Tribolium castaneum: one gene and its partners. The protein of the gene in region 3 purifies or fractionates together with the protein of the main gene of each other region. This does not show direct contact. Links are inferred from orthologs where the notes say so. Each region holds a gene or a part of one and is shown on either strand. Other genes may lie near its edges.

Region 1 (3,989 bases), on a different chromosome or scaffold from region 3:
TTAATCAAAAAAATGGAGCTTGTAGAATTTGAGGCGATAATAAAAGCCATTAGTCAATCTTGCAGTGAACAACTCGATCGCTTTACCGAATCTTTGCACCCACTCGATGAGTTAACACCTCATGTGGAAGAAGGTACGTGCAATCTTTTTAAATCTATTTTTGTACTCTGTTATGTCTTTTTAGAAGGGTATTTGTTTAATATATGTGCAAACGTTAAATCTTTGATTGATTGTAAAGTAGAAAGGGCCTTTGAAATCGTGGATAACAATGCTCAACTTTTGGAAAAAGAAAAGTCTGAAATCGTAAGTATAAAAAATAATTTTACTTGTACGATAACTTTGTAAAAAAAATAGAATAAACTGGAAGAGGAACTTTCAAATTTAACTACCGAATTTGGTGCAAAGAAAAATAAACTCCGGGAAACAACAAAACGGTGCGAAACTTATAATCATAAGCTGCAAAATCTTAAGAGCCTAAAGTATGAAATTTAAATGACTCTTACGTTGGTCTCTAATGAATTTATTTCAGGCTCTCCTTATATTTGTATAAGTTATTAACTGCAACACAATTTGATTATACAAGACCTAACACAGGCTGTATCCTTTCTAAAAAAAAAACCAAGCCGTTCATTTTAACAACTTTATTCCTTATAAACTAACAGATATGGTACGGACGAACCCTCCAAACTATGAAGTCTTCAATTATGGTGAAATAGGCGAGGAACAAGTAGTACGAAAATTATGGGCATTAATGGAAAAAATGGCACATAAAAACGAATAAAAACTTAAATTTATTGCTTTTTCTTTATGGTAACCGTTTTAAATATTGTATATGAATGGAAAACACTCGCGCTTGTTGCAATTGTAAAACCAACAACGAATAAGGCTACAATTACCATAGCTAGTAGCATTCCTTGGATAAATATGTTGTAAGTTATGTAAAAAATTCCCTGTGACGCCAAAATTCCCGTGTAAGTGAGCAATAGCGCAACGGGCATTAGGGTGGCTGCTGTGACCACGGGGAGCAGGATAACGGCCAAAATCACCACCAAAGACATGGACAAAATCGGTCTTTGCACTGACCATTTTAGGAACATACTTCTAACATTCTTCACCAAATTTCGCACTTTATCTGATAAAATTACGATTAGTAACGCAATTATTGGCGTGTGGCCTCACCTGGTAAAATGGGCATTGTTGTTATTTTACGCCGAACTGTAGAGATTAAAATAATTACTTGAACATGTTGGAATTTGACATCGCTTTTTATCAGTTCCAGTATTTACAAGGCGTGGAATTTGTACCGTCTTCTGATATTCTTCCACTTTTTTAGAGTTTATTGTTCTTCATTTAAGACAAAAACGAGCGAGTTTTTTCTTTTTGGCAAAAAATTTGAGGTTATGTGGCAAAAATTTGAATTTTCGTAAACCATAATCAACTTTAATTAATTATTTACTTATCAGTTTTGAACTTAAGTACTGAGCGGAATTTTCCATTCCCTTTCGATTGATTGTATTCTAGTGCAGCATAATGTATTAATAATGTAAAAAAACTAATTTTGAGGTTAGATTGGACTTGTCAAAAGGAAAAATAAAAGCAATTTTTGATTCTCGTCTATTAACAATATAAAAGGCCCACTTACAGTCAACAATTAAACGTAGCACATGAAGCAATTATTGCTTTTTGAAGCTTTTCAGGATTGGATAAATATTATCAAAGGCTTCGTAAATCTCCTGCCTGATTTTGGCGCCAGTCAAGACAACTTTACCCGAGACAAAAATAAGTAGTACAATTCTGGGCTTAACCATTCTGTAAATTAAACCGGGGAATAACTCGGGTTCATACGAACTGAAGGAACTGTGCGTGAGGACAAGTCCTTCCAATCTGATCGGAAATTTAACGTCGCAACTTCCCACCATATTTTGAATCTTGAAGTCTAAAAATTTCGCGGGGAAGCCCAGCTTTTGGATAATTCTCGCATATTTCCTCGCTGCTAGTCTGGAGTCGTCCTCGCTTTTAGCCCCCGTGCAGACCATTTTTCCCGAAGAGAAAATAAGAGCAGTAGTTCGGGGCTCCCTGATTCTCATTATAACTGCAGCGAAACGTTTGGGGTTGTACTCAGCGTTACGTGCGTGAAGGGCGATTTTTTTCAAGTCTAACTTGCAGCTGAGGTTAACTGTGGAGACAATATTTCTGCAAAAAATATTCAAACTAATTTTACTAAAGTTTGGACTGTTACTGTAATTGGGGGACAATGTTGGGGTCGGCCGAATGCGGGGTCATCGGTGTCAGGGGCGACGGCGTCGCGGGGCCCATCGACGGGGTGTTCGCTGCACCACTTGAGCCCCCCAAATTCACCATAGGGGACATCATAGTGTGTTGCTAAAATTTTAATTAAACGTTCCAATTATTCAATAATTTAGTTACGTACTGGTGTTTGTGACTGGATACTCGTGATGGGGAGGGCGAAGCCCGCATATTTCGTATGGGGCATGGACATGCCCATGCCCAACCCCAGAGTTGGTGTTAGGGCTCCCATTGGGGCCAAAGGCGGGACTTGTTGGGACTGTGATGTTGTGGAAGGTTGCTGCTGCTGTTGTTGCTGCAGAGCATTGGGCAAAATCATCTGATCTTCCTCGGGCTGGTGCAAGGGGGTTCCTAAAGCCTCACTAAGGAAGTGTGAAGGAAAAATCGAGACTTACCTATGCTAGGAATGCTGAAACCGGGGCTTGGCAACATTTGATCCATTTTGGTACTTGTTGTCTTTACACTTTTTTAATTAACGAACTAATTAACTGAACAATAAAATCATAGTCAACATTTAGCATAAACGGTTATAATTTTTAAAAACTTGAACTCAGACCATACAAACACAAAATAACATTCCTTGATTGTTCTCTTTCAGAGTTTTCGTCACGAAAATACTGTTTTTCACTGGAAAAACGGATTTGGAAGCAAATTAATAAATTATTCTCCTAGCATAATTTTTGGGGACAAATCAACCAGAATGTTGGCAACGCCCGCCTTAACCTCACTCAAATTCGCATCATAAATTTAAAAATAACACTCACGGCTCACGCTCACAATGTCGCCTTTTAAAAATTTCGAGTCAGTGGAACAGTTTTTTCACACAAACAATTATTTTGGATTTAATTTATTCACCTCTCCCTGATTGTTTATTTAGTGTTGTAATGTTGGCAACGCATATTTAACCTGACTTTTTCTACATGTGTTTATTTTAAAATAAAAGATGGTAAAAAGTTCGCTTTGGTGTTTGCACAGCGTATAGAAATGTTTTTTAGGGTAAGGCGAAGAAGACGCGAAAAATCGCCCAGAAGCGGTTTGCAAAAATGAAAACAATGATCAGTCCCAGCGACCCTCGCATAAAAGCCAGCCAGAGGGCCCCTCCTCGCAAGAAAAAACCCGAAGATCCACACGAAATGAAAGTGCGTGAGGTGCCCCAAGTTAGTTCGGCGCTCTTTTTCCAATACAACACCCAACTGGGGCCTCCATATCACATTTTGGTTGATACGAACTTTATTAATTTTTCGATCAAGAACAAGTTGGATATTATTCAGAATATGATGGACTGCTTGTATGCTAAGTGTATTCCGTATATTACGGATTGTGTTTTGGGCGAATTAGAGAAATTAGGTCAGAAGTATAAAGTGGCGTTGAGGATAATAAAGGATCCGAGGTTTGAGAGGATTAAGTGCATGCATAAAGGGACGTACGCTGATGATTGCCTAGTCCAGAGGGTCACCCAACACAAGTGTTACATTGTTGCGACGAATGATAAGGATTTGAAACGCAGAATTCGGAAAATTCCGGGTGTTCCCATCATGTATGTTGCACAACATAGGTATACAATTGAACGCATGCCTGATGCTTACGGGGCTCCAAAAACATAATAAACTACGAATTTTTATTACTACGTTATGAATTATCCCAATTTTTTACAAGTTTCCCTTCATCTAACAACGACCAAT
Region 2 (4,124 bases), on a different chromosome or scaffold from region 3:
CGTCATAGAGAAATTATGAATGTTTTTGGCAAAAGTCCTGGCAAACATTTTTAATGTTGTTGACACTGTTTATTTTCAACTCGGAATTCTATTTTAACATTTTAGTGTTATTTCAAGCGATTCATAAACCAAACCCCAAAAAAATCGTTAAAAAATTTATTTCTTATCAAGGTAAATAATACACATTACAATAAACTAAGTGCTAACACCATCAAACATGCTAACAGCCAATAGCAAATTCCTCCTCGTAAAGTGAAGGCTGATCAATGGCGAGCTCTTCGTCGCAAAACTCCTCAATAAATAATCATCCCCGATCCTCACATCGGGATTATGCGACACATTTACTTCCTCCGAGCTGATTTCCTCAGTCAGTTTGGTAAAATCCCAAACTTTGAGCAAACAGTCCAACCCTCCTGAAACTAGAATATTCCCGCATCTGCTGAAAGCAAGTGCATGGATGGGCTTCTCATGCCCGGTGAGTTCTGCAACCAAGTGTCCATGGGACAAGTCCCAAACCAACACTTTACAATCCACCCCCGCGGAAGCCAAAAACCGCCCACAAACACTGAACGCCAAAGACATTATGGGCGATTTATGCCCAGTCATAAGTCGGACATGATTTCCCGTCGTACAATCCCACAAACAGACGCGGCGGTCGCTGGAACCGGTCGCAACGTAATTGGAATTTGGGTGAAACTGGACGCACTACAATTAATAATTTCTGTAAAAAAATATTAAAAAAAAATTGATAATTTTTACATCGACGTCGGAGAAATGACCGGCAAATAATCGCAACGGTTGGTAATGGTCGGTGGCCCAAAGTCGCGCAGTGCGGTCGTACGACGCCGAAGCGAAGTAATAGCCCAAGGGAGAGAATTTGACGTCCCAAACGGGGAACATGTGTCCTTTGTAGACCACCAGACAAGTCCATATTTGCAACGACCATAATCTTATTGTTGTGTCTTCCGAACAACTGATAAGGAGAGTCTTGTCTGGGGAAAATGATACCGAGTAAACAGGCCCTGAATGGCCGTAAAGCGATCTGGAAGTCTCACCGGACCTTTCATCCATCATTCTCACCTGCATGTTGAAAACATGTAAGTTTTTGGAACCTGGCCAAGATGACAGATAAGTTGCTATCTTGGCAGATTTCTTTAAGTACACTGTTTAAATGAATAAAAATGATACACCTTCCAGTCATTTATTTTGCGATTTTAAACATGTTGACGGTTTCCACACGGCAACGACCTATTTTTATCGCTATTTATTCAAGTAGTCGATTAATTTAAGTCGGTGTCTACTTTATCGACTTGATGGGGGCGAAAACTAAAATCTCAACTTAACTTTGAATATATTTAATGTTGTATTAAAAAAATGAGTGATTACTTTTGTAGTAATAATAAAAGTCTTTTCTGAACAAAAAATTGTAATCGAAATTACTGATTTAGTTTTACTTATCGTTTAATTTTGATTGATTATATATTTTTTCATGTACTTTATCGATTTCATTATTAAAAAAAAATGTAACATTACCACGACATCCTCTACGTCAACATTGACATCCTCCAGCTGCTCCCCACTTTTCATAGCCTTCAGTTTTTGAGGCACAAGTGTCCAGACTTTAACAATTGAATCGCTGAAACCCACCGCCAGCATACTCGAATCTTCGGTGATTTCAGCACAATTAACCCTAAAAAACCCCCGATAAAGAAAATATTTTCACTGAATAAACTCAACTAACGTGTGATTGGCGTTAAGTAAGGTGTAACAACAAACTGAAGGGAGGTAATCCGGGCCTAACGTAACTCTCTTTGAGGCCTCTCTGTACGCCTTCACTTTTTCGTACTTATCGTGGTCTCTCATGTCCGGGACTGGAATTCTATCAGGCGGTGGAGCGTTTGGGTCATTTTTTGTTTTTTTCGAGAAAAGTGGGTCTTTTTTGGCTTTTTTCTTCTTAGGTTTGTCCGGATTGTCCTGTTCGCCGCCTTCGTCCTCGTCTTCGACTGGCGCTGCTAGTGCCTGAATGTCGGGGGCTTTGGGGATGCCGTAATAGACTTTGGTTTTATTATCTGGAATTTTGATGTGTTTATTGTAATTATGATAACGAAAATGAACCTTGTCGTTTTGCCTCTCCCCCAACGGCACCTGACGTGGCATCAATCTGGCTTTTGTTCCTCGCTACGCCTTCGTACATATCAAAGTAGAGATGTTCCTGGATGATGTTCAGCAAAACTGACGCTTTTTTGTCGTTTAAGTGACGTTTTAAAAGTGACAAAGTGTCACGCGACATTCGAATAATAAACTGGTTTGATTTGAAGGTGTCTGTCAATTCGTTCCCGTTCATATGGTCCCGTTTTGTGACCAAAGCCAACTTCCTGAGATCCTCCTGATAGTACGAGTCTTGTTCGGGGCCAAATTTTTTCATTAAGTTTATCGCTTTCTCCGTATGTCCATTATAAACCAATTCGAGGTACATGTGGACCAAAACTGGGTATAAAATCATGCCTAATTCGTGTTTGTAAATGTCAAGGGAGCCCTCAACAAAACGCTTTAACTCCATGTAAGAGTCCTCATAGGTTTCTGGATCTCCGTCACTCTTGTACCCCGTCAGAACGCTACTAACGTCTGAATTTTGTTGCAAAGGGCCATCAGCTATGTTATTACCGAGATTGGCCTCCTTTCGTAGCAGCTCCTCAGTGCCCTAATGAAAAATGTTACGTTGTGCTTACTCGCCATAAGCTCACCTTTAAATTGTATTTTTTCAAAATTTGCAGAACGGCTGCAAGTTGAGATTTTTCCATTTCTTCGGCGCTCATTTATAAACTCGTAAAATAATAAATACAACACAAACTGACGTTTCCCTAACCACACTTTAATGCAAATGACAACAATCAATAACGCAAAATTTCCCTAAAGCCTGCCATTCAACGTCGATTTATAAAAAATCTAGGCTTATTTCGCAACAATCCGATTTTCTCTTCATTCAGAGAGCGCAGTATGAGAGTTGTAACTCCTGGCTATATTTTTTAAAACTCTGAGAGTCGTTTTTGGACAATTTTTAATTGGTTGAATTGTGTTGGCACCATTTTTTTCTTAACCGCCACCCGCCATATTTCCAGCGCCATTAAAAGGATCTTTTCGGCGGTGTTTTGTGGTGGCTTTTTAAGAGCCAGAGTTGAAAGTAAGTAAATAACGGCTCCAATCGCATTATTATCCACTACCTTAACTAGTCAGCATTTTAGTAACGAAGTTGAATGCAAGCAATACTTATTGTTCCAGAAGTACGCAGTCAGCATCGCTTTACCGGTTATTCGCAAACAAAACTGCAGAAATGGGCAAAAAGAAGGTAGAAGACAGCGAGAGCGAGGAGGAATATTCAGTTGAGAAAATTATCGACCGGCGGGTCGTAAACGGAAAGGTCGAATATTTTCTCAAGTGGAAAGGTTATAGCGAAGACGATAATACTTGGGAACCCGAAGACAATCTCGATTGTCCCGATCTCATAGCGGAATTTGAAAAGTCGCGCAAAGCCAAGGCGAAGAGGTCTTCCACCACGAAAAGTGCGGACGAGGATAGTGACAAAAAAAAGGTGGGTTTATTGGATAAGCCAAGCAAAAACCAGCCCACTTCGACCCGAAATCTATTTAATTGTGTATCCCTAGAAAGAGAAAAAATCCAAGGACGGTGAAGAGAAGTCTGAAAAGAAATCAAAAGGCAGGCCCAAGAAGCATGCGGTTGAAACGGAGGACTCCGACGGCGAGCCCAAGTCGAAGAAAGCTCGCCGTCGTTCAGATTCCACGGACGAGAAAGAGAATTCAAAAAAAGACGCAGATTCCGACGACGAAAATGGTAAAAACAAGTCTGACTCATCTGACGACGAGGATAAGTCCAAGAAAAAGAAGAAATCAGAAGGCGATGACGACGAAAAATCCAAGAAAAAGCGAAAGTCTGAGTCGAAATCTGAAAAGGGGAAGGATAGTTCATCCAAGAGTAAATCAAAAGTCGGCTTTGAACGGGGCTACCAAGCCGAGAAAATCATAGGAGCATCAGACACCACAGGACAGCTGATGTTTCTGATGAAGTGGAAGGGAACCGACGAGACCGATTTAGTCCCAGCTAAGGAA
Region 3 (4,154 bases):
GTTGTACAGCTTCGTGTACGTGTTTCGAGTGAACAATCTGTGTAAGGTGGTTGGTTGTTGTTTTGTGAAGCTGTACAATGGAAATAGCCTCAAACATGAAATTTTGCAGTAGAATGGGGGGGTTTGTGGGGTCCGAAAGCGTTAGTCCTAGCTTGGATGAAAATTAATCCCAATACTGACATGACATCCTGATTCTGCGACTTTTATTTCCAAATAAGGAACGAATTATTTTCAAAATAATTCGTTCCTTATGAATGAAATAAAACATTTTTAATAAACAAATCAGTAACCATTCACTCATTAATTCAACGTCACTTTCTTTCGCATAGATAGCAATTTGCATTAAACACGCTGCCATCGTTTTTTATAACATTTTAAAAAAAATAAGAATTAAATAAAAAAAAATTACACGAGCATGAAAATTACATAACATAACGTGTATTTAATCACAAAGTAGGGATATCAACACCTTTCCCTATATGTGTGATGCTGTTTATGTCCCTGTGGAGAGATAATTATTATGAAATTTTCTAATTTTATAATCGTTCCACTTTTCAATAATTACTCCAACTCTTATTATTGCATCTTATATTTTATTTTAGGATGTTTGATAATTACTATCCGTTTACAATTCTGGAGTTAAAAATTCACTTGCGTGTACAAAATAGTGTTTCTAAGAAAAAAAGTCTTCTAATTGTTATCAAACAAAATATTGGTACATGAGGGTCACTGGAATGAATCCTCTGTTAAAATCTAAATTGCAACAAATAATTTCAGTTTTAACAAGGTCATCATTTTGTCTCATTTTTACATTAGTTTTGTTCAAAATTTCAATTGGGAGTGCATAATTTTTGAATAATTTTGTACAAAAAAATCTATGTTTACTGTATGAAAGACGCTAAATTCGCCATTAATGGTAATGTCACTATAACTGAGAAGAAATGTGTAAAAGTTTAGCCAACATTAAATACTTTTTATTACCTATTGAAACAGCATGTCTTTATGACTACACAGGGTGAAAGTACGAAAGAATTTCTTACTTTGCTGTAGCTGTCAAATCTACATCGCTTAAAAGAGTCTTGAGTTAAGTAAGAGCAAGTTACAATTTTGCAGGAACGTATTTAATTTTTTTTTTAAATCTAAAGTCATTTTTTTAACAATTCCTTAAATTGTATTCATTGCTAAGTAAAATTTTAAAAAACAGTGTCATTAATTCGGGGCCCTTACGTTGGTTTCCTGGGGGAAACTGGGCTTTATTTTCAAGAATCCAATACTGTACTGTTTTGAGTGTGTCTTAAGTTGTCTACCTACAACACAACGAAATTATTATGGTAGATAGTTTGTAAACTTGTTGGACGTTGTTTGTTTTGATGGTCACATGATAATAAACAGTACACCAAGTACTGGCTTGAAAACATAATTTGTCCTAGAATGAAAATTTGTTTAATTTTTTGTTTTTTTTTTAATGTACGCTCAGTAGATGTCGATAAGGGGTTATAGGTGTTAGCAAGCATCTTAAGACTGGGAGTTAGCAGACCCTCCCATTCGACTGTTGTTTTGAGTGTACACCGACTTACTGGAGCTCCTGGCCGGGCCCCGACAATCTGTGGTGCACTGAGCACGACACGTGCCGGTTGTCCTTTCTGCTGCTGAGCGGGAACGCCAGGCCGTACATTGACAACCTGGAGGTTGGAAAGGATGTTTGGGGACTGTGTACTGGGACTACCTACGTTGTTAGCTGGCGGGACCGAGGTGGTCACGTTCATGGGCACGGTGACGAGTCCGGGGGCCGAGGCGCCGCACGTCTTGATGACCAGCGTGGGCTGCTTGCCGGGGGCGGCCTGGGGCAGCGTCCCATTGGGCGGCAGCGCGACCCTCGCGTTGGGCAGCAGCGTCCCGGCGCCCGCCATGGCCTGCGAGTAGACGATCTTGACGGGGGCGGCGTCGGCCGACTTGGCGTCCGAGATGGAGTCGCCGTTGGCCACTGTCGAGTGCTTGGGGGGCCCGACGGTGCCGCCGTTGGATATTGCACTGTTCACGTGGTTCTGGGCCGCGGACGCGGGCGCCGTCGTCGACGACGTCACCAGCTGGTTCTCCAACGAGCCCACGATTGCACTCACGGCCGATTCGTCCACATCCGTACTCAGTGCTTCCTCGAGAAACTTAGCTGACGCCATTTTCCGAGACCCAACTGTAAACTGATGTGCGCATGCGCCCTACATAAACATGATCACGCCAACGGCTGCGCCGTCGACTCTTCACGCCACAAATGCAGAAAGGCATATGAAACAAAAGTCCGAATCGACGCACTTTTAACCACTTTACATGGCCCTCATCTTCGGCTGCTCCGAGTTGTTGCACGGTTTCGTCGGGGGCGGATTTCACGGCGACATCAGACACAGCTTTTCAGTTTCGTTTACATCGCGGAGTCGATCGCACTCTCGACGTTTTGCTAAGTCATCTGACACGTCATCCCGACCCGCCAAATTTGAATTTTCGCATTGCATTTCACATTTCCAAATCCACAAATTTACATTTCTTTAGAAAGTTTCTGCGCCAATTTACATTTAACAAGATGACATTTTGCGACGACCGCTGATAGCCCCGATTCCTTCCACGCAGCTCGCAGCTTACGTATTACGTCATGGGGACAACACTCATTTCTCATCTTAAATTCTCATTTTACCTCGAATTCTGGCACGAGGCACAACGCAACTTTCTTTACTTCATAGCTCATTTGCTGTTTTTTGTTGCTTGAGCAATATTTCTTAAGAGATTGTTTATTGCTAAATCTCATGACCTACAACAACCTTGCAACACCATACTGCTGTTTTATCATCACAAAACAAAACACTCTGGTCAGATTCCCGCTGTTTTTTTCAAATTTTGAACAAAATTACCAATAAAAAACTTATATTAATAATATAAGTATATTTTCTTATACGATAGGTATGGCCTATTTAATATTAAGAACAGATTTATTGATAAAAAATAGGTATTCGATTTATAAACACGTTCTACTCCTACTATAATTTCCATTTTGTTTGGTACTTTTTTTTTATCATCTCCCTTATCCTCCTTTTGCATCAAATCTTTTTAATTATAGGTGGTATTTAGAACTGTAACGCAAATTTTTAATAAAAATCTAGCACTTCTAGATAACAGCAGGTAATAGTACCCCTATCAATTTGATTTCAGGAGGCTTGTGTGGTTGATAATGTGTAGGCAAGGGGTTATTTAATCGATTCCGGTGTAAACTATAATGGCCTGCAATCAATAAATTAAACGTAGGTACAATTGAGTACAAAGCGGTTCATTCGGCAACTGTTGGAAGAAAAAAAAATTCACATATTACAAATAAAACAATAAAATTCTTAGGACTTAAACGATTTTATTTACAGGTACTAAAACATGACATCGGTAGTAAAAAATAAAAAAGCATACAGAACGTAAAAATTGATCAAAATTAACCACTTGAGGAGAGATGCCACTCTTCGGTATTAAAACTGACACATTATTTTAGCAATAGCCCTGTTATAATTTATAAAGCTTGCATAAATGTTACAACAGGTGGAACAGGTCATTTACCGTATCTAACATGTGTTGTTTGATTAATAACTTTTGTAGTGCTTCAAGGTATACAAAGAAACGGTCGATTTCCTATTCCCAAAGGCAACATATCCACTATTTGGCGAGAAATTGATCGCATTTACGTGTCCCAACTTGGTCTCGAACGTCGGGAAGTTGCTAAAAACAGTCCCAGACCCGACATGGAGCAATTTGACGGAATTCGGTATTTCGGCAGACGACAATGCCAAAATCTCCGATGTAGCGTTGAATTTCAAGTCGGTCACGCTCGTAGTCAAATTCATAATGGTCTTTATAGGTTTAGGTACTTTATTAATTAAAATATCCCCCACGTCGTACAAATTAACAACTCCTTGTGCAGAACCAGCCGCCAGAAATTGATTAGTGGGCGAAACCGCCAAAGTGGTGCCTTGCAGACAGCCCTCGTCCATAAACTTGTGCAAGACCCGTCTCATGCTCACGTCCCACACAGTGACTTCGCCACAGTCACTGTGCCCATAGAGAAGATTACCTTGGGGGCCGTAGGCCAGAGCCGTAACTTCATGGTTTTGCTTTATTGTTGCGAC

What was found.
Region 1: the proteins of Taf4 (region 3) and Tbp purify together in Drosophila melanogaster (affinity purification with western blotting; 7 studies listed by BioGRID). This does not show direct contact. The link is inferred for Tribolium castaneum from reciprocal best matches to the Drosophila melanogaster genes Taf4 and Tbp.
Region 2: the proteins of Taf4 (region 3) and Taf5 purify together in Drosophila melanogaster (affinity purification with western blotting; 3 studies listed by BioGRID). This does not show direct contact. The link is inferred for Tribolium castaneum from reciprocal best matches to the Drosophila melanogaster genes Taf4 and Taf5.

Annotation. Positions count from the first base shown.
Region 1 is NC_087402.1:9,986,985-9,990,973, reverse strand, and holds Tbp (uncharacterized protein Tbp), read right to left. Parts: upstream 2,841-3,989; 5' UTR 2,749-2,840; coding exon 2,703-2,748; intron 2,659-2,702; coding exon 2,432-2,658; intron 2,383-2,431; coding exon 2,240-2,382; intron 2,194-2,239; coding exon 1,674-2,193; 3' UTR 1,180-1,673; intron 1,133-1,179; 3' UTR 627-1,132; downstream 1-626. Other genes in the region: Bka (rRNA-processing protein FCF1 homolog), read left to right, coding at 3,251-3,253, 3,303-3,911; Tbcc (tubulin-specific chaperone C), read right to left, coding at 3,937-3,989. UniProt on the Drosophila melanogaster protein: General transcription factor that functions at the core of the DNA-binding multiprotein factor TFIID.
Region 2 is NC_087398.1:2,407,347-2,411,470, reverse strand, and holds Taf5 (cannonball), read right to left. Parts: upstream 2,866-4,124; 5' UTR 2,802-2,865; coding exon 2,745-2,801; intron 2,702-2,744; coding exon 2,116-2,701; intron 2,070-2,115; coding exon 1,742-2,069; intron 1,691-1,741; coding exon 1,534-1,690; intron 1,081-1,533; coding exon 760-1,080; intron 706-759; coding exon 196-705; 3' UTR 143-195; downstream 1-142. Other genes in the region: heterochromatin protein 1, read left to right, coding at 3,332-3,589, 3,663-4,124. UniProt on the Drosophila melanogaster protein: TFIID is a multimeric protein complex that plays a central role in mediating promoter responses to various activators and repressors. May play a role in helping to anchor Taf4 within the TFIID complex.
Region 3 is NC_087394.1:35,639,814-35,643,967, forward strand, and holds the start of Taf4 (transcription initiation factor TFIID subunit 4), read right to left. Parts: upstream 2,829-4,154; 5' UTR 2,178-2,828; coding exon 1,578-2,177; intron 1-1,577. Other genes in the region: wcd (U3 small nucleolar RNA-associated protein 18 homolog), read right to left, coding at 3,612-4,154. UniProt on the Drosophila melanogaster protein: TFIID is a multimeric protein complex that plays a central role in mediating promoter responses to various activators and repressors.